4 linked regions of the Caenorhabditis elegans genome follow. The gene in region 1 interacts genetically with each later gene. Each region holds a gene or a part of one and is shown in the gene's direction. Other genes may lie near its edges.

Region 1 (7,607 bases):
GTGAGAGTTTTCAACTTATTTTGGAAGAAATTTTTTTTTGACAAAATTTTGCAATTTCCCACGCAGAAATACGGTATGCCCCGTATCTCGCCACGAACATAATATTTTAAATTGACGGAAAGGTGTGCGCCTTTAAGAAGCACAGTAACCATTTTCCGGTTTTTTTTTTGAAATTGCCTTTGATTTTTACTTTTTTCTCCCAAAAACGAGAAATTTAATATAATCCATCAAAATCTTTGTGAACGAGAGAAATATAGTGAAAAACTCAAAGAAAATTGCGAAATGGATTACTGTACTCCATAAAGGCGCACATCTTTTCGAAAAATCGTGAAAAATTGCATCTGACCAACAGTTTTGCGTGGAATCTTCCTAGATTCAAATTTCCTATGAGTCATAAAACTATCATTTTATCGGACAATAACTACACGTGTACCTTGTTTCCATATGTTCTACCAATATAATTTGTGTTCATATGTGGCCAGGTACGGGAAATTAGAACACGGACTGATTTAGGAAGGTTCAAATTCGAGAACAATGGACGACTTGCTGCACGAAAACGTGGATTATTCTGAAACCGCCTATGTGATCACTATCGATTTAGCACTTCGGTTTTCTTTTTCCGTTTTCCTTTATATTCCGTATTGTATGCCGACAATAACGCTTTTTCTTTGTATAAACATTTCCAGAAGCAGAGCAAATTTGTTTATTCCAGAATTGACTGAATATTGAAATAATGTTTACAGACATACTGTAGATTTTTTTCTATTCAAACATGAATACAGTTTTTCGTATTTTTAATCTTCAGATAAGTTTTGTGTGTGTTTTTGAGAATAATATTTAAAAAAGATAAGCAAATATCAGAACTACGGTAAGCGAAGGGGTACGGTCGTCAATTGCGGACTTCCGAGCTGTGCACGGCGCCAAAATTTATTTTGAGTTTTAAAATGATTTTCTTTGTTTTTTTTTCTTTTTTTGACACGATAAGAACATTTTTCTGTATTTCTAATATTTTAAATGAGATCGTAATAAGTTTATTTAGCTCCATCACATTATTTTCGGAATATTCATCGCTTGAAAACGGCGTAAAATAGGTTCCAAGTAAATCATTGCAAACAAATCTCCGTTTATCGTTCTAACAAAGTTTTTCGTTCACTTTCTTATGTAAATCGTTTTCCCCACTTCTTCTTCACGGGAATGATCAATTGAAAGGCCATAAATTGGTTGTTTTCTCCACATTTCGCAACCAACATGCAGCTGTCGGATAGGCAATAAAATAATGTAATCAATGAGTTTTCCGATTTATCCTAACAGTTCTTTTTCTAGTGTTCCTATTCGAAAAAAGTACTGTTATCCTTCTTTTTGGACCGCCCATCTCAGGTGTCAAGACAATCGCAACACACTCAGAAAATGGGCGGAGTATGCCACCCGGCCTTCATTCGTCGCTCCTTGTCTTCTCCATTTTCGTTTTTTTCCTGTTCTCCGTTCTTTTTTTGTACTTTTGTGATAATGCTGAAGTGTTCTTTTTTTTCGCTTAACCGCATCTCTTGATTTAATTCATATTTTCTTTCAGATTCATGTACAATAACACCAAGAGCTGCTCTAACAACTAATAATAACAGAATCTCGAACAGCGAACACAACAATGCGAGTTCTTCTAATTTTACTCGCGTTTTTTGCGCCAATCGCCAGTCAACTTATGGGTGGAGAATGCGGAAGGGAAGGTGCTTGCTCCGTCAATGGAAAATGCTATAATGGAAAACTGATTGAGACATACTGGTGCCGGTAAGCATATATTTCATTCTCCCATGTCAATGTTATTCATCCGCTTTCTCATGAACCGTGACGAAAAGAACAAAAAAAAGAAAGTTTGGGCAGGTGGTGGTGGTGGGAAACAGGCGATAGATAAACAAAAGCTTGGTGTAGAGAACATTTTGAATAATATCCGAAAGTTGAATTATCACTGTCCATATTTCCCTCTAAGACATCATTAAACGCCACCCGGCTTGCAGAATGGGAACACAATGAACAGCAGGAGGCTGTCACAATGTAAAATCTCGTAAATCGTTCGGGAAATCTAAAAAATTGTTATTTAGTTTTCCCTTTTCTCTACAAACAATTCATTTTTCTTATCAATAACTTTGAGTTCCAAAGGCAAAATTTACAGCCGTTTACAGCCATCTTCCCAGGGTTGTCGGCGAATTTATATGGACGTTCATAAAACAATTGGATTAGCGTGTCGGTTCTTTAATCTTGTCTTTTCTTATTACTATCTAGCTCGTTTGATTAGTTATACAGAGAGTATCAACGTATTTATCGATAGGAAAATTGCGCCATGATGCTCTAAAATACATAAAATCGCTCGATTTATCTGAAAATAACACTTATTTCAGCTTAAAAATGTGAGAAAATGGTCCAAAATTGTCTGAAAGTTGTTGAGTGAATTATCGAGATTTGTTTTCTGATCACTTTCACGAATATATCAGCTGAAAAATTGTTATTTTCAAGTAAATCGATATATTTTGCCACGATTTTTGATTAAAAATACTGTAATTTATTGATTGTCACCCACCACTGGCCCACAGTCATAAATTGTCTCAATTGAATTACTTTTCAGTTTAAAAATAATTTAATCAAATTTACAGTTGCAAAAAAGGATTCGGAGGTGCTTTCTGTGAACGTGAATGCGATTTGGATTGTAAACGAGGCGAGAAGTGCATCTACGATGTTTATGGTGAAAATCCGACGTGTATCTGTCAAGGTAATTTTGTGAATCCTAAAATCTGTTAAATATCATAATATTTTGCCCGAAACGACCTATTTTCATAATGGGACTTCTCAAATCTTTAAATCAAATTATCGCCTTTTTGCATAGTTTGATAAATACTTTATCTCGATTCAAGTGTATTCTAATCAATCATTTTAAGATTTTAAACGTTTCAAATTCAAAATTTTGTTCCATGTTTTACTTCCACCTTTTTCTTCATCTGCCCTTTTTCATAGCGGCAATCTTTTTCACCACATCATCCATCATCACACTGCGAGTGTATTTTTCTTTGATTGTGCCCGACTTGTACGCAATTTTTTGTTTCAGGATATATCAAAATTTCGAAAACTTATTAGGGAAAACACGCGACCATACGTATAATAATTCTCCCGGGAGATCCCAACATTGACAAATTGTACCGCATTCGTGGTATCCTATTTTTCATTTCTACGCTCTCAAAATGACCGCTAGTGATAGATAGCTTCTACTAGGTCATATTCGCACATCTTCATCGCCTTTGTCATGCGATTTATTGCAAATGTTCGGTTTCATTGCGCGGGGGCAGTAGTATAAATCAAGCAGATGTTGTTACACAGACAGCCATGAGAAAATATTTATAAGTTTTATTATTCAGATTGCGAAGACGAGACTCCTCCAACAGAACGTACTCAAAAAGGCTGTGAAGAAGGCTATGGAGGTGAGTAAAGTTTGGATAATGTATGATTACTAATAGTCAATGACTTTGTATCACAATTATTGTTGTTTTGAGCAACAATTGACAGCTATTTTAATTTTTAAAAAGTTGCAAAATTGTTTTTTTTTCAATTTTATATTTTTCGAAAACACAAAGGACCAATGAAATTATCAGATTTTAAAAAATATAGTAAAAAATAAATTAAATATATTTAATTTAATTTAACATATTCTAATAAGAAATGCGCGAGATCCAAGTCTCCCACTGTGATAACTTTTTCCATCTGTTGTCGGAACCGATTTGATCTCAAATAAATCAAAATATTGCGTGTTCTTTTTCTCTATTTTACCGTAATGAGATTGACACCTTTCTCATCTCAAAGGAAATAATCGGCGGTTGGGGGTAATGAGGTGTGAATGGCTATTAGGAAAAACAAACTTCCGCCGGAATTTGAATTTAAATTCCACTTTTTTTAAAAAGAAGACAAAGGCCTATCCGTGATTAATACATTAATATTTTCAGGTCCTGACTGCAAAACTCCTCTATTTTCGGGAGTAAATCCATGCGATTCGGATCCTTGCAACAACGGACTCTGCTATCCATTCTATGGTGGATTTCAGTGCATATGCAACAATGGATATGGAGGATCGTATTGTGAAGAAGGAATCGATCATTGTGCTCAAAATGAATGCGCAGAAGGTTCAACGTGTGTCAATAGTGTATACAACTATTACTGTGATTGCCCAATTGGAAAATCCGGTCGATATTGTGAACGAACTGAATGTGCTTTGATGGGAAACATTTGCAATCATGGAAGATGTATTCCGAACAGAGATGAAGACAAGAACTTCAGATGTGTATGCGACTCGGGATACGAGGGAGAATTTTGCAATAAGGATAAAAACGAATGCCTCATCGAAGAAACGTGTGTTAACAACTCTACATGTTTCAATTTGCACGGTGATTTTACTTGTACCTGTAAACCTGGATACGCTGGAAAGTATTGCGAGGAGGCTATCGACATGTGCAAGGATTACGTTTGCCAAAATGATGGATACTGTGCCCATGACTCGAATCAGATGCCAATTTGTTATTGCGAACAAGGATTCACTGGACAACGATGTGAGATTGAGTGTCCTTCAGGATTCGGGGGAATTCATTGTGATCTTCCACTACAGAGACCACACTGCTCTCGGAGCAATGGAACGTGTTACAACGATGGAAGATGTATAAATGGTTTCTGTGTCTGTGAACCTGATTATATTGGAGATCGATGTGAGATTAATAGGAAAGATTTCAAGTTCCCAGATATTCAGTCATGCAAATACAATCCGTGTGTGAATAATGCGACTTGTATCGATCTCAAAAACAGTGGATATTCATGTCATTGTCCGCTTGGATTCTATGGATTGAACTGCGAGCAACATTTGTGTAAGTTCGAAAATTTTATTTTTATATACGACAAACGCGCCTTTAAAGAGTACTGTAGTTTCAAACGGTGAAATTTTCATCAATTTTTCAGCTTTTTAACATCAAATCTACATAGACTACACAGACTTAAATTTTGAAAAATCAATGGCAATCCCGGAGCAAGGAGAGTTTTTAAACTACAGTACTCTTTAGGAGCGCACATTTTTTCGCATTTAACAAAATTTTTGTCGTGGCGAGACCTGATACCGTATTTTTAGCTCAAGATTACTAGGCAGCATTCTTAATATCAACAAACTTCAGTGTGCACTCCAACTACATGTGCTAACGGAGGTACTTGTGAAGGTGTGAATGGCGTTATCAGATGTAACTGCCCCAACGGATTCTCTGGAGATTACTGCGAAATAAAGGATAGACAGTTATGCTCCAGACATCCATGCAAGAACGGAGGAGTTTGTAAGAATACTGGATATTGCGAATGCCAATATGGATACACTGGACCCACTTGTGAAGAAGTTCTAGTTATCGAGAAATCAAAAGAGACGTTAGTTTTCTTGGATACTATAAAGAATGCAGCCCAGAAAAATAATTTATTGAAGTAAAAAGCGGTTTCAATGAAATAAATACCTAATTTTAGCTCAAATCTCTAATTTTGCCAGCTTCGGTTTGTGTGACACGGGGAAGGTGTTAAATAAAATTTCTTTAGCTAAAATAAGGCTGTCTTTTTCCAAGATTTGAACTGCCATGATTTATTTGGAATTATTTTTTTGAGCCACTTGGAGTATAATGACGATGAAGATAAAATTCCTTCAAAATTTGTATTCAAGGTATTAAATGTGAACATTTCAGTGTCATTCGTGATCTATGCGAGCAACGAAAGTGTATGGATCTTGCTTCCAATGGTATTTGCAACCCGGAATGCAATTTGGAAGAATGTAATTTTGATGGAGGTGATTGCTCAGGAGGGCAAAGACCATTCTCCAAATGTCAATACCCTGCAAGATGTGCTGATCAATTCGCAAATGGAGTCTGTAATCAGGAATGCAATAATGAAGAATGTCTTTACGATGGATTGGACTGTCAATCAGAGTTATTTCGATGCCCAGCTCATATTCGGAAACATTGTATTGAAAGACGAGGCGATGGAGTTTGTAATTTAGAATGCAGTTTCATTGGATGTGGTTTTGACGGTGGAGATTGCAATAACGGAACAGAAGCAATAATCCTCAGTGATATTCGTATAAAAGTTCAAATTGATCCTATTGAATTCCAAGCTACCGGAGGAGAAACACTAATGCAAATCAGTGCAAATCTTCGAGCAACCGTACGTATTCAACGGGATGAACTTGGACCTCTTGTATTCAGATGGGATGGTGAACATGAAATGGAAAGAGTTGAGATGAATAGTAGCAAGCTCGAAGATCAATTTGTACTTTCGCATCACGTTCGCAGGTATCGGCAAGCTGTTGTCACTGGAATTGTCTTGTATTTGGAAGTCGAAGAAATATGTAAACCCGAGTTTTGCCGATTTTCAACAGCGCAAAGTGTCGTTGATTTGATTGCTGCTGGACTTGTGAAGTCTGATGTAAGTTATTTTTATGTGGAGTACGGCACCGGGCTGGAAACAAAATAATTTGGACCGAAATAACAAAAAAAATTAAATTTGTGAAAAATCCAAAAAGGTAGATTTCCGGTTCACTTTTCACTTTTTAGAAGAAAATCATCCGCGTTTTGCTAAAAATATTTGTAAAACATAAAAAAATGTTTGAAGTACAGAAAATTAGTTTTTGAATCCAAAACCAAAAAAACAATTTTTCGTCAAAATATCAAAAAGTCCCAGCACTGGTGGGGCTTAAAATCTATTTTTATGGTGATAAAATGACCAAATATAATTTTTAAAAATTAGAAAAATTTTATAGTATATTTCGAGCCAAAAAGCGGTGAACCTTTAATTGTTTGAGTTATGGAAAATAATAATTAAAACATTTTCAGGGTCGTATGTCTCTGGGTCTCCCAATTACGGAAGCAATGGTAGCTGTTCCAAAGAGAAACGAAATCGATGAAGGATGGTCTCGCAGTCAAGTTATTCTGTTTGCATGTATTGCATTTTTGGCTTTTGGAACTGTTGTCGCTGGTGTTATCGCAAAGAATGGTCCAGAAAGAAGTAGAAAAAGAAAAATGGTGAACGCAACAGTCTGGATGCCTCCGATGGAATCAACGAACGAGAAAGGTCGTCGGAATCAGTCAAATCATTCGAGTCAGTGCTCTCTTCTTGACAATTCTGCCTACTATCACCCCAATACCAAGAGACACTGTAGCGATTATAGTACCGGCTACAATGGAGAACAATATTCACAGATTTATCCACAAACTCTCGCAAATGGATATCCCGGTGATTACAACGAATTGAACTTTGACTTTCAATCTGAGACGTTCGCACCAGCTGATCTACCAGCCGACGAAATGTGAGTGAATCTTTATAGTTTTATTATAATTATTGTTATGTTTCTTTCAGCCCTCTCCATGTTCAAGCTGCAGGACCAGATGCGATTACAGCTCCAATCACAAATGAGTCAGTCAATCAAGTGGATTCAAAGTATAGACGACGAGTTCTGCACTGGCTTGCTGCCAATGTCAGAGGAAAACCGGAAGATGTCATTACAACAGAGGCAATTCGATGCTTGAAGGCTGGAGCCGATGTGAATGCAAGAGATTGTGATG
Region 2 (4,689 bases), 5.0 Mb from region 1:
AATCGACAACTGTCTCTCGTGTTGGGTGTAAACTTTTATTTTGAAAACCGGTTTTTTGTTCGATCCGACAAAGGAATTATTTTTTGGGAAAAGGGCAAGAATTGAGTTTTCAAAAGCTGATTTCAACCTTTACCAGTGTTTTTTCCGAAATTGCTCTTAAAATTTGTTTTTTCTCGTTATTTTGTTAATCCACCAGCGTTCTCCCCATTTTCCACGTGATATTTCTCATTTAATCGAACAAAGTGACTCGTCTCGTTCATAAAAACGTAAAAATGTTCGAGGCGAGACGAAAAAGAGTGAAAGAAAACCGAGGAAAATGGGCGAAACTGATGCAAAATGCGAGAGAACGAGAGAAAACGACGAGTCGAATTTGAATTAGCGCGCAACCGCGACGCAATGAACACTGCGTCGCGGTCGGCCTTCCCGGTTGTGTGACTGACGAAATCGGTGCCCGACACCCTTTTCGCCCCGTTTCTTCATCGATTTCTGCTCGTTTTTCGACGTTTTTCGTGTTTTCGGCTGGGAATTATTTGATAATTGTGATAAAGTGGTCGGTATATCTAATATTTGGTTTGAAATTGAAGAAAAACGGCTAAAAGTGAGCAAATAAAGGCTGTCTTGTGAGTTGGATTAGGTGGCAAGTGAGTCATTACTGACGTTTTCAGACGGGGATTTCTAATGTTTAATAATTTTAATGAACTTTTTGGACGATTATCACAAGATTTCAAAGCGTGCACTTCGTTTTAGTGCAAGAAAGCCGAGAAATTTAGGATTTTAGCCATTTTCGATCGCTTTTTTTAAATTTTAATTGTTAACGCTCACTTTTTGATCGATTTTTGTATTAATGGCTCTTAATATTCGCAATTTATTCGTTTTACAATTTAATGTGAGAACAGGAGTAAAGAATTAGCAGTGATTATTAGCCTGCAGCTTGAAAAGCTTGTCCTTCGCGCACGTTTGTCAGTCTTGGTTTCTGAAGTATTACTTAAATGTACATGCGTACTTTCTATGTTTGAATAAAGTGTAGTCAGCTAGATTTTCAAGTTTTGAAGTTTTCAGCTATCGATTTTCCAATTTAGCTCAATTTGTTTTCACCTGAAACAATTTATTTTTCTCCTTTCTTCTCGATTCTTTCTTTTCAAGTTGTCTGTTTTTATTTAAAAAAAATAAGCAGCACTTCTTTCAAATCCGCAATTTTATGTCGTCTAACGTAGATTATCCTAGATTTTCGGAATATTTATGAGGAAAGTTTTTTGATATCACGAATACCTTTTTTTGTTTTCTAATGGAATGCTAAATTCAATTGGTAGTCGATGAAAAATCCTGAATCTTTCATTTTCTTTCAATTTATGTTCTGTCAGAAATTCGATGAACTACCGGGCTCTCAATAAAAAAAAGGTGTTGTTTACCCAATCCAATCGATTTTTGTCGCCAATTCGTTTACAATATCGTATTTCATCATTTCTGTTCCATTCTCAACCGCGTACCGTTTTCGTTTCTCTATTTTCCGTTCAAAAATAGCATATTTTCAGGTAGAGCTCCTCTTTCTTGAACCACCAGGTGCCCTCGTGCACTCAATTCGTGTTCTGCTATCAAAGGTATCGATTTTTACCATTTTTTGTTTAGTTTTAGTCAGTCACGATAGTGAATCATGAATTTTCAGCACGATCAGAGCAAACAATGGCAGGTGTGATGTCAGTTAAGGACTTCATCGTTGCGACAAAATACAAGCTCATACGAAAAATCGGATCAGGATCATTCGGTGACATTTATGTATCGATCAACGTGACGAACGGCGAGGAGGTGGCCATTAAGCTGGAAAGCAATCGGGTTAGTTTGAGCAGCTTCCATATTCTTTTTCGAATAATCATTCATTATCGATTTTTAGGCGAGGCACCCGCAGTTGCTGTACGAGTCCAAAGTGTATCGTATCCTACAGGGAGGAGTCGGAATTCCACATATCAGATGGTAACCTTTTTCTATAAAAAAGACCTAGGAACATATTTACCGCGTCTAAATTGTTCTAAAACTTGTAATTTCAGGTACGGAACCGAGCGAGAGTACAATGTGCTTGTCATGGATCTTCTCGGTCCTTCATTGGAAGATCTCTTCAATTTCTGCTCCAGAAGATTTACCATGAAGGTCAGTGGTGACGAGTAGCTTAAAATGAGTTTCAGCAGCGGATTCCTCTGCTTCACCGCGCAATTACTTCACGTGAATATTTCAATTTCAAGAATTACTTTGAAATTCGCACATGAAACGTATTAATGATCATTGTTGCCAATGTGTTAGAGTATTGGTCATAGAAATAGAGTTCTCAGAGTTCAGAGTAAATAAATAATAAACGATTTCGAAAATGAGTGCATCCTTCTCACAAATTTTCATTATTAAAGAAGTTTCCATCAAGATAATTTTTTTTCAGACTGTTCTCATGCTGGCTGACCAGATGATCGGACGTATCGAATATGTGCATGTCAAGAACTTTATTCATCGTGACATAAAGCCAGACAACTTCTTGATGGGAATAGGACGTCACTGCAACAAGCTCTTCTTGATCGACTTCGGATTGGCCAAAAAGTAATCACTCACTATCATAGTTTAACAAATATTCATCAAATTATTTTCAGATACCGTGATTCACGCACCAGAACTCATATTCCATACAGAGAGGACAAGAACTTGACCGGTACCGCCAGATACGCATCCATCAACGCCCACTTGGGAATTGAGCAGTCGAGAAGGTATTTTAGATTTTTTTTAAATTTAAAATTTACTGTTTCAGAGATGACATGGAATCCCTTGGATACGTTTTGATGTACTTCAACCGTGGAACTCTTCCATGGCAAGGATTGAAGGCCGCCACGAAAAAGCAAAAGTATGAGAAGATTTCTGAGAAGGTTTGTGGTGTGATCCTGTCATTTTATCGATTTTTCAACTTAATGTTTTCAGAAAATGACGACATCAGTCGAGCACTTGTGCAAAGGATTCCCAGCTGAGTTCCCAATGTACTTGAGCTACACAAGAGGACTTCGTTTCGATGAATCTCCAGATTACATGTACTTGCGGCAACTGTTCAGAATTCTCTTCAGAACGCTCAATCATCAGGTTCGTGTTAAAACAATTACAATTACAGAAAACCTTTTCAAACATAATTAATACTTGAATGAATATTTTAAAAAAAGCAACATTGTTTAAGAAAATATAATAAAATGCATATTTACAGTACGACTACACATTCGACTGGACAATGCTCAAACAAAAGGCTCAACAATCGCAATCCAGTGGCGTCCCCGGAACCAACACTACTACACAGGGAGCTACCGTTCCATCAGCTGGAGTTCCAGCTGGAGTTGCACCAGGAGGAACTACTCCACAGTAAGACGTTTTGTTGCCGTCCTGAGGCTTTTTAATCCAAAAAAGCCCATGTTAAATCATGTACTATCCTTTCTTTCGTCTCTCTACTCTTTTCATTTTTTTCCCCTCTACTATTTTTGTCTTTTCTTGGGCTAACATGCCTCTTTAACTGTGTGCTGAAAATTGTGGAATGTTTTGTTGTATTTTATCTTTTAACCAATTTTTTAACTAAAGATGAATACTCTCTACTTTTCGCAGTTTCAGCACTTTTATTTGTCGTTTTATAAATAGTCTCATCATCTTCTCCTACTCTCTTTTATTTCCTTCTTTTCCATTTTAGTAGGATTTTTATTCCCCCATTTTTCGAATCGTTTTGACCTTTTTTTCTTGAATGCCTCCCTATCAACATACCAATATATTTTTCTCTCTATTCCCCCCTACCATTTTTCCCTTTCCTTTCTTCGTAATGATGAAAATGTCCCAATGTCGGGCACTCAAAAATTAAAAAAAATACTGAAAAAGTCAAGTGGCCGAACATGTTTTTGGGTATAACCGGCTCACCTTGACACACCCACCCCCTCTCTTTTGGCTCCAAATGCCTCTCAATACCCTCCCATAACTTCCCCACCCAGAAATCAGAGCCCCACTCCGTTCTTTTTTGTGTGTAATCAATAAATTGTCGTAATTCTCATCACATTGTTTTTTGCGACCTTTTCTGAAAACGACCAGAAAAGATGCGCTTGAGTCTCTCACATCTGCTGCTGTCGAATTTTTTTCCGTTTAAACTTTAAAATGAACAAGTTCATCATTTTAGAAAATTTGTTTTGTTTTCAAACTTTTCAGGAATTTAGTTTTTAAAAAATTAATGCTATTTCCCGTAACACCCTTTTGAACTTTCCTACCCTAAAAATATGTCTATATAAACTTCCAAAAAATACAAAACTTCACATATCGGATAGTTCAATCGATCGCCAACAATTCGATGGCACAAAAGCCCAATGGGCCTCCAAAAGAAGACACTTGGGCATGACATCCCGATCTCTGGACTTTCATGGAATAATGGAGGAGTTGTTGAATGCTCGACAAGGATCCTGAACTGACGACAAAAAACCAATTGGAAGGATAAATTTAAGTGCTCCAATATGTTGGAGCATCCAAGGTAAGCTCTTTCAGCAGATAATTAAAACTTTTCAGGAAAAACGGAATTTTCCGAGAAATTCGAAAGAACACAAGCTCGACGAATATAAATATCATTTCATGTTTTAAGACGAATAAATTTAAAAAATAAAGAAGAATAAGAAATTGAATAAAAATTGATTGAAAGCTTACTCGTTT
Region 3 (7,831 bases), on another chromosome or scaffold:
ATGAAAATAGAAACCATGGGAACATTGAATATGCTTATTTCCACATTGATAGCGCATTTCTTCTTCTTCTTTTTTCTTTTTCATTTCCTTTTTCTTCTCCATCTCACCATATTTTTGCCCATTTCCTCCATCAGACACGCGCTCGCGCTCACTCGCTCACCACACTCAATTTTAGCTGTTTTTCCTTCTTTTCCACCCCCTCATATTGACTGACACATATATATTATATATATATATATATATAAAGATACATATATGCAAATTGATGTTCGGCAAATTGACATTGTGCAATTTGCCGAACATGAAAATTTCCGGCAAACTGGCAAACCGGCAGTTTCCCGGAAAACAATTTTCCGAACGACAATTGCCAGTTTTCCGGTATATATATTTATATATTCCCTATTACGATCAATATAGAATCCTGTTTAGCCAAAATCTTTTTTGATTTTTCCCAAGGAACAACATTTTAAAAAAATACGTACCTTTTTATTGCCACGAAATTTAATTGGAAAAAATCAATTTTGAAATAAAATGTATTTTTGTATTTATATAAAAAGCAATTCTATTTATTTTTAAAACGTGTTGGATTAGTTTTTTAAAATAAAAAAAACAACACCGAAATTTAGTCATTTTTCGTTCAATCGTTAGTGAGAAGCGGTGAGTTTTGGCGATTTTGAGCATTTTCCGTTGAAAATATGAGTAATTTCCTATTAAACTGGTTATTTCGATCGCGCTAGTGAAATTTCTTGAAATTGTGTAGCAAAATGGGCTTACATGCTATTTTAAGATGAGCAATTGAAGCATTTTATTTTGATTCAGTCAGAATTTTGAAATACTTACGAAAATAGCAATTATATCAATTCCAAATCAAAAAATATGGTACTTATGGGTTTCGTTCCCCCCAAAATGATTTCCATATTTTCTAATTGATACGTGAACTTTTTTTTCATTCCCAGGCTTAGGGAAATGATTTTCTAAGCCTTGTAAAAATGAAAACAGTATTAAAATAAACAATAACGTGTGGATTAAAATTAAAAAGGTAGTGTTGAATAATTAAAAATCATTTTGGGGGGAACGAAACCCATAAGTACCAAAAATATAGTTTCTTCTAGAAATATATTTTTTATTGCCGCTAAATTTAGAAAAATTCAATTTCGAATGAATATGTATTTATTTATTTTGAAAAAAACGTACATTAAAACGTGTCGGATTAGATTTTACTTCCCTTTTTTTAATTTTAAAATTCAAAAAATTCATTTCTATATTTAAAAATTTGGCAGTTTTGGCGTTTCCCTTTTATTACAGTGAGTTAGCCAACTTTTTCGAGCTAATAACATTACATTAAGCTTTAGAAAAAACTTTAGAAGTTTTGAGAAATACTACTTTTAAAACTTCGATTTTTTCAATTTTTGGCTAAATTCTATTCTAGTTTGAATATCCTCCAAAATGAGAGCTCCCCTACGACTATTTTGGATTTTTTGAAGCGAATCCTAAAAAAATGGGCTGAAAATGCCAAAAATCGTCTAATTTCCAGTAAAGTTTTTTGGCGAAATCCATATTTAACAGCTCTTTAATAGTCCTACAAATTCGACAAATTGCCGATTCGTCGGAAATTGGCCGGTTTACCGATTTGCCAGAAAAAGTCGTTTGCCGCCCACCCCTGTTCCCACTTTGGCTAGGAATTCCTAAAAGTTTATCGAATTTTGAAATGTTACTCCATTTCACCTCATATTTGCCTTAAATATCACCCATTTTTATACGTTTCCTCGTATTTTTCAAACCCAACGCCCAAATGAAATATTTTATTATTTTTTATTTTCAGGTGAATAGCCTCATTCTCTCCGTTTTCCCTCTCAAAAAACCACATCATATCCTCATCATCTAATCTCTGGCTCTTCTCATTTATTGGACAGAGCTCATATATACACACACACACACAAGAATCAAATCAATCAGTAGTGTGGTGTGATGAATAAGCAGTTACTATCGTGCTCGCTGAAAAGCGGAAAACAAGTGACGATGGTCGTCGCGTCAGTCGCCACGGATGGTGTTGATCAGCAGGTTGGTTTTGAGTGAGGAAATTTTAATTTTCTCGGAGAAATTTGGATGAAAAGAAGTTGGATATCAGAGGTGGGCGGGTATTTTTTTCGGATATTTTCTAATAATGAATTTATCAATAAGTATTGATGTAGTTATTCTGGAAAAAATGTATCCGAACAAAAGAGTAACTATTAAGCAACATTTTAATATGATAAAACCTAAAAAAATTCTACAAGTTTTCTGTATAAACGATATGCAAGTCCATTATCCGATATCCGTAATATCCGTAATATCCGATTGCTTAATAGTTACTCTTTTGTTCGGATACATTTCTTCCAGAATAACTACATCAATACTTATTGATAAATTCATTATTAGAAAATATCCGAAAAAATATCCGCCCACCTCTGGTGGAAATGCATGAAAATGAGGATTTTCACAAAAAAAAACTCTTTGGAAGTGATACAAATATATTTTTCGATATTTAGTACAACACAATAAATGAGTTATTACGTGTTTATCCACAGATAAGAAAAATCGCCATATCTGCCGCGCAAATGAACCCGCGGGAAGAGACAAAACTACTGTAGTTTTTAACCAATTTGTGTAGATTTACGAGCTATTGCGTCATCGTTGAATTTAATTTTGAGCCGCAATTTTTAATTTTCAGGCGTGTTTCACTCTTTTTTATATTGAAATTTATCTATTTATTGAATAAATCTTAAAAGAAAACACAAAAAAATTAGAAAAACGCCTGCAAATTAAATTCAACGATGACGCAATAGCTCGTAAATCTACACAAATTGGTTAAAAACTACAGTAGTTTTATCTCTTCCCGCGGGTTCATTTGCGCGGCAGATATGGCGATTTTTCTCATCTGTGGATAAACACGTAATAAATAGGTTGACAAAATTGTTCTCCTTTTCCTCGTGGAGTACACGATTTTACTCAAGCACTTAAAATATCAATTTCTTCAAAAAAAAAAAAAGGAAATTTGCTGGAAAACTAGCTGATAAAATGTGAAAAAATTATTATTAAAAAATCTCCAAACGAAAAAAAACACTGTAATTCAAATTTTAATTAAAAAAAAATGTATTGTAGGTTGAAATCTCGTACTACGATCAGAAAGTGATTGGAAATGGATCATTCGGAGTGGTATTCCTTGCCAAACTCTCTACAACAAATGAAATGGTTGCAATCAAGAAAGTTCTTCAGGACAAACGATTCAAGAATCGTGAACTACAGATTATGCGAAAATTGAATCATCCAAATATCGTGAAGCTCAAATACTTTTTCTATTCGAGCGGCGAGAAGAAGGATGAACTCTACTTGAATTTGATTCTCGAATATGTTCCTGAAACTGTCTACAGGTTATTTTTATTAGGATTTTTAAAAATTTCTGGAAAATTTCAGTTTTTAGCGGAATTTTTTTGTTCAAAAATAAAGAGAATTTCTTATTTAAAAATTGAAAAAAAAAATTTTTTTGGAAATTTTTAAATAAAAATTGCGAATTTCTTTTTTAAAGATATTTTTAAAAATTTTGAAAAACAATAGTAGAAATTCAATAAAAAGCTGAATTTTTATGTTTTTTTTTGTGAAAAACTGTTTAAAAATGATGTTAATGTAAATTTTTAAAGGAAATAATCAAAAAATGCCTGATTTTTTTAACCTTTTTTGTTAATTTCTGACAAAAATTCATGGAAATTTGATTTTCCGTCGATTTTGTGAAATTTTGGTTCGAAAATTGAATTTTTTCGCTAAATTTTGATTTTTTAAGATAAAAATTGATTTTTCCCGAATTCCAGCGCTACAGGGCGATTTCAAGCAGATTTCTTTGCAACATTTTTGACTAAAATGCACTATTTCACGAATTTCCTCCTGAAATTTATGTAAAAAGCTATTTAAAAGTTCAAAAATGCGTTCCAAACGTATAGAAAGGCTACAAACTACATGGCTGATAGCTTGGAATTTAGAAAATACGATTTTAAAACAAAAAAACTTGAAATTTTGCAAAATTCTTTACAAAATTGAAAATATTCTATTTTTTTATAATTTTGAATTTTCAAGTTGAAAACCTAGAAATTTTTTTTTGACAATTTTTGACTAAAATTTATGGAAAAAATTATGTAAAAATTGAAAAAATTTAGAAAAATCGATTTTTAAACAAAAAAACTTGATGTTTTGCGAAATTTATTTGAAATTTTTAATTTTTGCAGAGTTGCCCGGCACTATTCGAAGCAGCGACAACAAATTCCAATGATTTATGTCAAATTGTACATGTATCAGCTTCTCCGTTCATTGGCCTACATTCATAGCATTGGAATCTGTCACCGTGACATTAAGCCTCAGAATTTGCTCATTGACCCGGAAAGCGGAGTGCTTAAGCTCTGTGATTTTGGATCTGCCAAATATTTGGTTCGCAATGAGCCAAACGTCTCGTACATTTGCTCGCGATATTATCGTGCTCCGGAGCTCATTTTCGGCGCTACAAACTACACGAACTCGATTGACGTTTGGTCGGCTGGAACTGTAATGGCAGAGCTTCTTCTCGGCCAACCAATTTTCCCTGGTGACTCTGGAGTTGATCAACTCGTTGAAATTATTAAAGTTCTTGGAACACCGACTCGTGAACAAATTCAAAGTATGAATCCGAACTACAAGGAATTCAAATTTCCACAGATAAAGGCACATCCATGGAATAAGGTATTCCGTGTACACACGCCTGCTGAAGCGATTGATCTCATTTCGAAGATTATCGAGTATACGCCGACGTCTCGGCCAACACCTCAAGCGGTGAGTTTTTTGGGGGTTTTTGTAGAAAAAAGGCCGAAAAATGAATTAAAAATGTTTTCCCAACACTAAATTGCTGAAAATCGACTCTTTTTTCAACTAAAAACCTTTTAAATTGAAAAAAATTGATTTTTTGTCATTGAAAACTTGAGAAAATTGCCCAAAAGTTTAAAAAATACTGCGAAATTCAGGAATTTTAATCATTTTGGCTATTTTACAATTTTATGAGAAAAATCTCTAAAAATTAATGGAAGTTTGAATTTTTCGACTTTTTATCGAGATAATTAAAATGGCGAAAATTGCACAAAAAATGTCAAAAACTGATTTCCGGTAGTTTTTAACGTTTAAAAACACTTGAAAATGGAAAAACAAAACTTATATTAAAATTGTGTCAAAAAATTATTGAAATTGTCTAAAAATGGACTTTTTTTTTGTTTTTCGGTTTTGAAAGCGAATGTTCTGTAATTTTATTCTCAAAAAATGCGAATTTTTGCTCACAAAAGTTATTATGGAACACAAAATCCTTAAAAAAACATATTCGATGCGCAAAATATATCGTAGCGAAAACTACAGTAACCTTTTAAAGGACTACTGTAGCGCTGCGCTTGTGTCGATTTACGGGCTCGATTTTTATTCTGCATTTATTAATCAAAAAATGAGACAATAATACGAAGAAACGAAGGAAAATATAGAATAGATTCATATCGAAAATCAATCCCGTAAATCGCCACACGGAGCTATAGTACCCATTTAAAGGGTTACTGTAGTTTTCGCAATGAGATATTTTGCGCGTCAATTATGATGTGTAATACGCATTCTTCTCAGAATTTTCGGTTCCCGTAATATGAATGAAAAAAAAAGAGAAAGTTGAGTGTGATTTTTGAGACATTAGACAGTTGACTGAAAATTTATTTAAAAAATTTCGGCCATTCGGTCAGCTTATTTTTCCTCCATTTTGAAAATTGCAGATTTTGCAGATTTTCGATCGCTCAAAAAAAAAGCAGCCAGTTTGAAACGAAATTCAATGATTTTATCTGTATTTTTCCAAAAAAAAGTATCTTCATTGTTCACAAATTCGATCGCCCCCTCACAAAACCGCTTAGAAAGTCCACCCCGTTCGTTGGTTGCTTTTGAAAATCGCCTTAATATCTATCGTTGAAATCTTTGTTTCCTCATTGTAATTCTCCCATAGATCAAGCCATTTCCCGGTTTTTTTTCTTAGATTTCTCAAATTGGCACGAATATGGAAGATATTTATGGAAGCAGATGGGAGCATTAGATTTTTACACAAAAAAAATTGCAGAATTTTGGCTTTTTTTTCCAATTTTTGGAAAAAGATAACTTGTGAAACCGTGGTTTTTAATTTTGAAAAAAAAGCTATAAATTCAAAGTTAGTGAAATCTGAAATAGACATAAAAATTGAAAATCCCACTGAAATTTCAACTTGAATTTAACAAAATTTCAGCTAAAACTTGGAAAGAAATGTTTCTTGGAATTTTTATAGAACTCGCTGACAAGCAGTGAGCAGTAAAAAACTCGGCTCACAATTTATCCGTACTTTTATTTTTTGAAACTAGTAACTAAATGTCAACTGCAAGAATATTAGAGGCCATACTACAAATGAGATTTCCAGAAAATTATGATGTTCTCGTAATTTTAAAGATGGAGACATTTACGTGGTATGATGGTTGAAAATTAGAAAATTGGCTTGAAAACACTTTTAAATTTAGAAAAACCACAAAAAACGAGCAAAATCGAGAAAAATGAACAATTCAACTTTCGAAAACACGATTTTCCCTATTGTGACTAACTAGTATATTTTAAATTTCCATTTTGAATTTCCTCCAAAACGAGAACTTCCCGACCAATCAGCGATTCGTCCTGCCCACTTTTCAACCAATCAGATGAAGTGGGCGGAGTTCGATGTCGTTGATTGATCGATTGGGGAGTTTGCATTTTGGAGGGAATTGTCTGCGTTTTGATCTACAAAAAATGCGGGAATTTTTTCCCAGAAAAATTGTAACGTCTGCACGCTTTTAACCATGTGAAATCAGTTGAGATGTTTGCGTCTCATCTCCCGCATTTTTCGTAGATCAAATCAAAATGGGACTTTCTGACTCCACGTGGATTCAAACATGGGGAATTTGGAACTCACAATGGACAAAAATATCGATTTTGCTCGTTTTTCTGAATTTGAGACTGTATTTTGAAATTTTTGAGAGACAAAATCGCCCCCAATTCACGCTACTTTAACAATTCAACCAATATATATATGTTTTTCGTCTTTTTCAGGCCTGCCAGCACGCATTCTTTGATGAGCTCCGAAACCCGGATGCACGTCTTCCATCTGGTCGACCTCTTCCAACACTTGAGATGGACGGTCCAATGGGAACTGGTGAAGTTTCAACGACAAGCGGTGATGTGGCTGGCCCATCGGCTTAAACTTCTTTTTTTTATTTTAATATTGGTTCTGAATTTTCTCTCGAATGTTTCTTTTTTTTTCATTTTCCGTGGGATTTTTCTTTTCCATTGATTTTATACATCCATCCTCTCCTCTCTCTCTGTCTCTCTCTCTCTCCATACCTATCATCATTAAGAAAAAAATTATTATTTTTTCTTTTGAGCCCTCCCCCCCCCACCCCCCTCCATCGCCCGTATCGTCTCCATAGCAACTGTGTTGTAGAAGCATTTCCCCCCAACTCGATTGTCTGCTGCTCTTCTTTTATTTTATTTTATTGTCCCCTCAAGCTTTTTTGTCTCGAAAAACTTGAATTTTTACTCTTTTTTTTTTACCCCACCTGGCTCCCCCCTGGATTTTTCTGTGAAAATTTGGCTAAAAATTAGGTTTTCAAGGTTCCTGAAATTTTGGCTGAAAATTGGGTTTTAGGCCAAAAATTTTGGGTTTTTTAAACCTTTGGCCTAATTTTTGAGGCCCAATTTTTTAGGACTTCATCTAGGCCCAAAGGCCTGAAAAAATCCGCGACTTCTGTACATTTCCTCC
Region 4 (4,401 bases), on another chromosome or scaffold:
GGTAAACTGTGAAAATAAAAGTTGCGCCGTGTGCACAAACCTATATGCTTTTCAATCTATACGTTCTCAAGTCTCCCATAACTTTATGCTTTTTTGCAAGTTTTGGCCAGTTTTTCCAATTAAAATGCACTAGATGATTTTTTAAACAATATGAGTTTATTATTTTTTAAGAAAGAATTGGCTGCTTCTAATCAATGCAAAACATACAAAAAAGAGAAAAATCAAACATCACAACTCATTTATGTAGTGTACTCCCCATGACTCGCCTACCAACTTGACTGTTTGTCCAAGAAATCGACAATTTGTCAGGTTAAAAGACAATGGGTTAATGTCTGGAAAAGTGTCAGATGATCAGGAATTTGCTCTCGAGGAGTTTTCAAAACCGTAAAGCGATGTTTTCAATGTTGGAAATAGTGGTTCTAACTACAAAATTTATTTCAGTGAAATGAAATTAAATAAATATTTGACTATTATTTATTGGCTTCTCTTCTCATCCGGATTCGACGATTTTGGAACCAAATCTTCACCTGTAATGTGCTACGTCTCGGAAAATTATTGAATGATAACAACTGATTTAAAAATTTTTTATTTTTTTCCTAGATTGATCTAATCACATCTTTACAACATACAATCGGATATGTTAGACTTAACGTAGAAGTTGCTGGAGCTCAGCCTGGTGGATAAATTTCGCAAACAATTTTAATAGAGAATAGATTTCTAAAAACAATAGAAACCTGATATTCATCTAGACTCAAAATCCTTGCCAATCTTTCCCTTTCATCACATCCAACATACTGACTTTGTGCAAAATACATTTCGAGTAAATATAGTTGTTCCACTGTAAATGTGGTTCTTCTACGTGGAATTCTGGAGGTTGAAGCTTCTGGTCTAACCATCATCAGTAAGAATGTAAAGACCATTTCGTGTTTCATATTTATGCCGTCAATTGTCAGTACAAGGGGCCGCCCGTTTTCGTTTCGTTTCGTTTAAATTATAGGGAATACATTATAAAATCACACCTTTTGTGTATATCTTCGTAGTTTTATTGGACATTTTAATAGGCCTTGTTTATAAAAGAAAATATAATAATGATGACATTATACAAAAAAGTATTCAAGGAATGTTTTATAGTTACAAAACCTATAGGTATACAGAATATGTCAAAATAGGGGAAAAAACTGAATGTATGCAGTCGACGAATAAGGTTGTCTTGACATTTTTTTGGTTAATAATGTTTTTCCTGCCAGTTTCGATATCTTTGAAATTTTGATCCAGATGACATCAATCCTAGCTATGGAATAATGGGGGAACTCTCTTTAAATTCACAACTTCATTCGAGCAAAATTTGTCTTTTGCACACGAAAAATTATTATTATTATTGCACAATCAAATATTTTTCCCCCGTGCAAGTGTGCAATGGGGCGACGGGTCGAGCCAGAAACCCGTGTTGTTGAAAATCAAACCAAGTGCAAAATATCCATTTTGCTTAATTTAAAACGATCTAGGATAACTCCACTAGCAACTAGAATATCTAATTGAAGGATTGAAATTTGGAAACTTACAATAAGGTATTCTATTTTATTACGTTTTCAATCTTGCTAGGAAAACTTGGAAAAAAAATCCATAAACGTTTCCCGGTTATTTCAGAAATCGATAGTCGACCTCCGTTGTTCCTTATCTAAATTTCATCAATTGTATCCTTTTTGATAAGACAATACTATCTTTTTATCACTACGTCTCCTTCACTCTAAATCCTAATGTAGTATCAATCAATTTGATGAAAAGACTACACTGGGGCCCACTTATTTTCTTTTTCAATCAAAATTCACACTTTATTTTATATATTTCTTGTAAATTGTATTTTTCTTCATTTTTAATTCTACTTTTTTTCAACAATTAACTCTCGAATTCTTCAATTTTTTACAGAATGAAAGGAGTTGTAGAAGGACAATGTGGACAGCAGAATGCTCTTGTCGGGTTAGCTAACACATTTGGAACATCCAATCAAAGAGTCGCTCCGAGTAATGGTAAGCTGGAAATATTCAAGTAAAAATTAACAAAAAAAAAAGTTTTTAGCTGCAGCTTCTCTTCTCCCATCTTCTTCTATGGGAGAACAAATGGCTAATGAATTTTTAAGACAACAAGCGAGAACAATGGCTCCAACAAGTTTCAGCATGAAGTCGATGCAGAATAATTTACCACAGGCATCAGCATCCTCAAGTTTGGCAGCAAATTGGACAAAGGAGTTTCAACCGCGACAGGTATTTCTAATGCATTCATATATTGGTATTTTCAATTGATTGCTTCAGAACCAGTTAGCGAGTCAATGGAGTCAACAATACACATCTAGTGCTCCAAGCATGGAATCTGCATGGCGTCAAGTTCAAGCTCCATCAATGACATCCACGTCATCACATCAACCAATAACAGATGCTGGTATGTGGTCATCTGAATATCTGGATACTGTGGATACTTCTTTAACCAAATCTTCTGGGACTCAAAACTGGGCTGATGATTTTATGGAGCAACAAGATAATTATGGAATGGAAAACACTTGGAAAGATGCACAGGCTTTTGAACAGAGATGGGAGGAAATTAAGAGAGATATGGAAAAGGACGAATCTCTTCAAAGTCCTGAAAACTATGTTTATCAGGTAAGATTTTTGTCTTCTTTAACACATTTTTATAACCCTCCTATTCAGGAAGCAAACCCTTTCACAACCATGTCAGATCCACTGATGGAAGGAGACAATCTAATGAGAAATGGAGATATTGGAAATGCCATGCTTGCCTATGAAGCAGCAGTTCAAAAAGATCCTCAGGATGCACGTGCCTGGTGTAAATTAGGATTGGCTCATGCTGAAAATGAAAAAGATCAGTTAGCAATGCAAGCGTTCCAAAAATGTTTGCAGATTGACGCTGGAAACAAGGAGGTAAAATTTGAGAAAAATATTTGATTATTTGATGCCATAAAATAGATAGGTCGCGATAAAATTCATATCTGTCTCTTAAAACTTTTTAAGAACAGAAATTAAGAAAAAAAAAAAAAAACTTCCAATAAAATCAAAATTATTTCAGGCACTTCTTGGTTTGTCTGTCAGTCAAGCGAACGAAGGAATGGAAAATGAAGCTTTACATCAATTGGATAAATGGATGTCTTCTTACTTGGTATTTCTTATTTTTATTTCAAGAATAATCCCACACGAATAAATATTTTAAGGGTTCAAACTCGACTCAAGTGACAACCACACCTCCACTCTACTCTTCATTTCTGGACAGTGACACTTTTAATCGAGTTGAGGCTAGATTCTTGGATGCTGCTCGGCAACAAGGAGCAACTCCAGATCCAGATCTTCAAAATGCTCTCGGAGTTTTATACAACTTGAATCGCAATTTTGCAAGAGCTGTCGACTCTCTCAAGTTGGCGATCTCCAAAAATCCAACTGATGCTCGTCTCTGGAATCGTCTTGGTGCTACGTTAGCCAATGGTGACCACACAGCTGAAGCCATTTCAGCATATCGAGAAGCTTTGAAATTGTATCCAACATATGTCAGAGCAAGATACAATTTGGGAATATCTTGTATGCAATTATCATCTTATGATGAAGCTTTGAAACATTTTTTATCTGCATTAGAATTGCAAAAAGGAGGAAATGATGCATCTGGTATTTGGACAACTATGAGGTTAGTTTATAGCTTTATATGTTAAAATCACCTTCACAAATTTCAGATCAGCAGCAATCCGAACATCGAATGTCCCTGACAATTTACTGAGAGCAGTGGAAAGACGAGATTTGGCAGCTGTAAAAGCCTCTCTAGTCTAGAATAATTACAATTTAAATACTAAAATAAATAATTATTTTTCCTCGAATTTTTTTACTTGGTTTTCAAACTTTCATTTTGAAAATCTCAATTTCAAGCCGATCACGAGTTTGGAAGGGTCATAAAATGTTATTACAGCGGTAAGAAAGCAGGAAGTAAACCGACCTAGCACAAAAAGTGTTCAGCTCATTTTGTTTTGTTTGTAGAACTCACATTGTTAGAGCTCAATGAAATGATTGAATAATGCCTAAATTAAAATAACATTCTTCAAGACTTCTAGACACTAAGTAATCAAATCCTATCATTTCTCTTACGGTGAATTTCTACAAAATGCTCAGAAATTCCACATGAGTCACCGTTCCATGAGTAAAACCTCGGAACATATGACTGATTCTATTTATTATCATCTTTCCGCCACCCTCTTCCAAACGTCTCACTCTTTTCTATTTGCCGGTCATCGAACACATTCTTCCTTTTCTCTTTCTGTCTTTGAAGCACATGACATGGCCATTTATCATGAAAAGGTACAGCTGGTTGAAGAAGAAGAAGATCCGAGAGAAACAGCTCCAATTGAGAGGA

The links.
Region 2: changes in glp-1 (region 1) and kin-19 together harm fitness more than expected from each alone (negative genetic interaction), as found in Caenorhabditis elegans (one large-scale study listed by BioGRID).
Region 3: changes in glp-1 (region 1) and gsk-3 together harm fitness more than expected from each alone (negative genetic interaction), as found in Caenorhabditis elegans (one large-scale study listed by BioGRID).
Region 4: changes in glp-1 (region 1) and prx-5 together harm fitness more than expected from each alone (negative genetic interaction), as found in Caenorhabditis elegans (one large-scale study listed by BioGRID).

Annotation. Positions count from the first base shown.
Region 1 is NC_003281.10:9,090,671-9,098,277, forward strand, and holds the start of glp-1 (glp-1/Notch intracellular domain), read left to right. Parts: upstream 1-1,570; 5' UTR 1,571-1,642; coding exon 1,643-1,782; intron 1,783-2,642; coding exon 2,643-2,758; intron 2,759-3,398; coding exon 3,399-3,461; intron 3,462-3,980; coding exon 3,981-4,889; intron 4,890-5,189; coding exon 5,190-5,430; intron 5,431-5,735; coding exon 5,736-6,471; intron 6,472-6,878; coding exon 6,879-7,351; intron 7,352-7,401; coding exon 7,402-7,607. UniProt on the Caenorhabditis elegans protein: Essential signaling protein which has a major role in germline and embryonic development; involved in cell fate decisions that require cell-cell interactions. Probable membrane-bound receptor for putative ligands lag-2 and apx-1.
Region 2 is NC_003281.10:4,083,480-4,088,168, reverse strand, and holds kin-19 (Casein kinase I), read left to right. Parts: upstream 1-1,532; 5' UTR 1,533-1,598; intron 1,599-1,663; 5' UTR 1,664-1,680; coding exon 1,681-1,830; intron 1,831-1,888; coding exon 1,889-1,968; intron 1,969-2,042; coding exon 2,043-2,142; intron 2,143-2,422; coding exon 2,423-2,577; intron 2,578-2,627; coding exon 2,628-2,741; intron 2,742-2,782; coding exon 2,783-2,897; intron 2,898-2,949; coding exon 2,950-3,105; intron 3,106-3,223; coding exon 3,224-3,379; 3' UTR 3,380-4,166; downstream 4,167-4,689.
Region 3 is NC_003279.8:12,817,394-12,825,224, forward strand, and holds the start of gsk-3 (Glycogen synthase kinase-3), read left to right. Parts: upstream 1-1,822; 5' UTR 1,823-1,968; coding exon 1,969-2,061; intron 2,062-3,141; coding exon 3,142-3,410; intron 3,411-4,256; coding exon 4,257-4,833; intron 4,834-6,725; exon of another isoform or gene 6,726-6,779; intron 6,780-7,122; coding exon 7,123-7,272; 3' UTR 7,273-7,831.
Region 4 is NC_003280.10:8,702,898-8,707,298, forward strand, and holds prx-5 (TPR_REGION domain-containing protein), read left to right. Parts: upstream 1-1,926; 5' UTR 1,927-1,927; coding exon 1,928-2,027; intron 2,028-2,076; coding exon 2,077-2,261; intron 2,262-2,309; coding exon 2,310-2,654; intron 2,655-2,702; coding exon 2,703-2,933; intron 2,934-3,078; coding exon 3,079-3,168; intron 3,169-3,220; coding exon 3,221-3,684; intron 3,685-3,730; coding exon 3,731-3,824; 3' UTR 3,825-3,863; downstream 3,864-4,401. Other genes in the region: Homeobox protein ceh-7, read right to left, coding at 471-527, 735-932.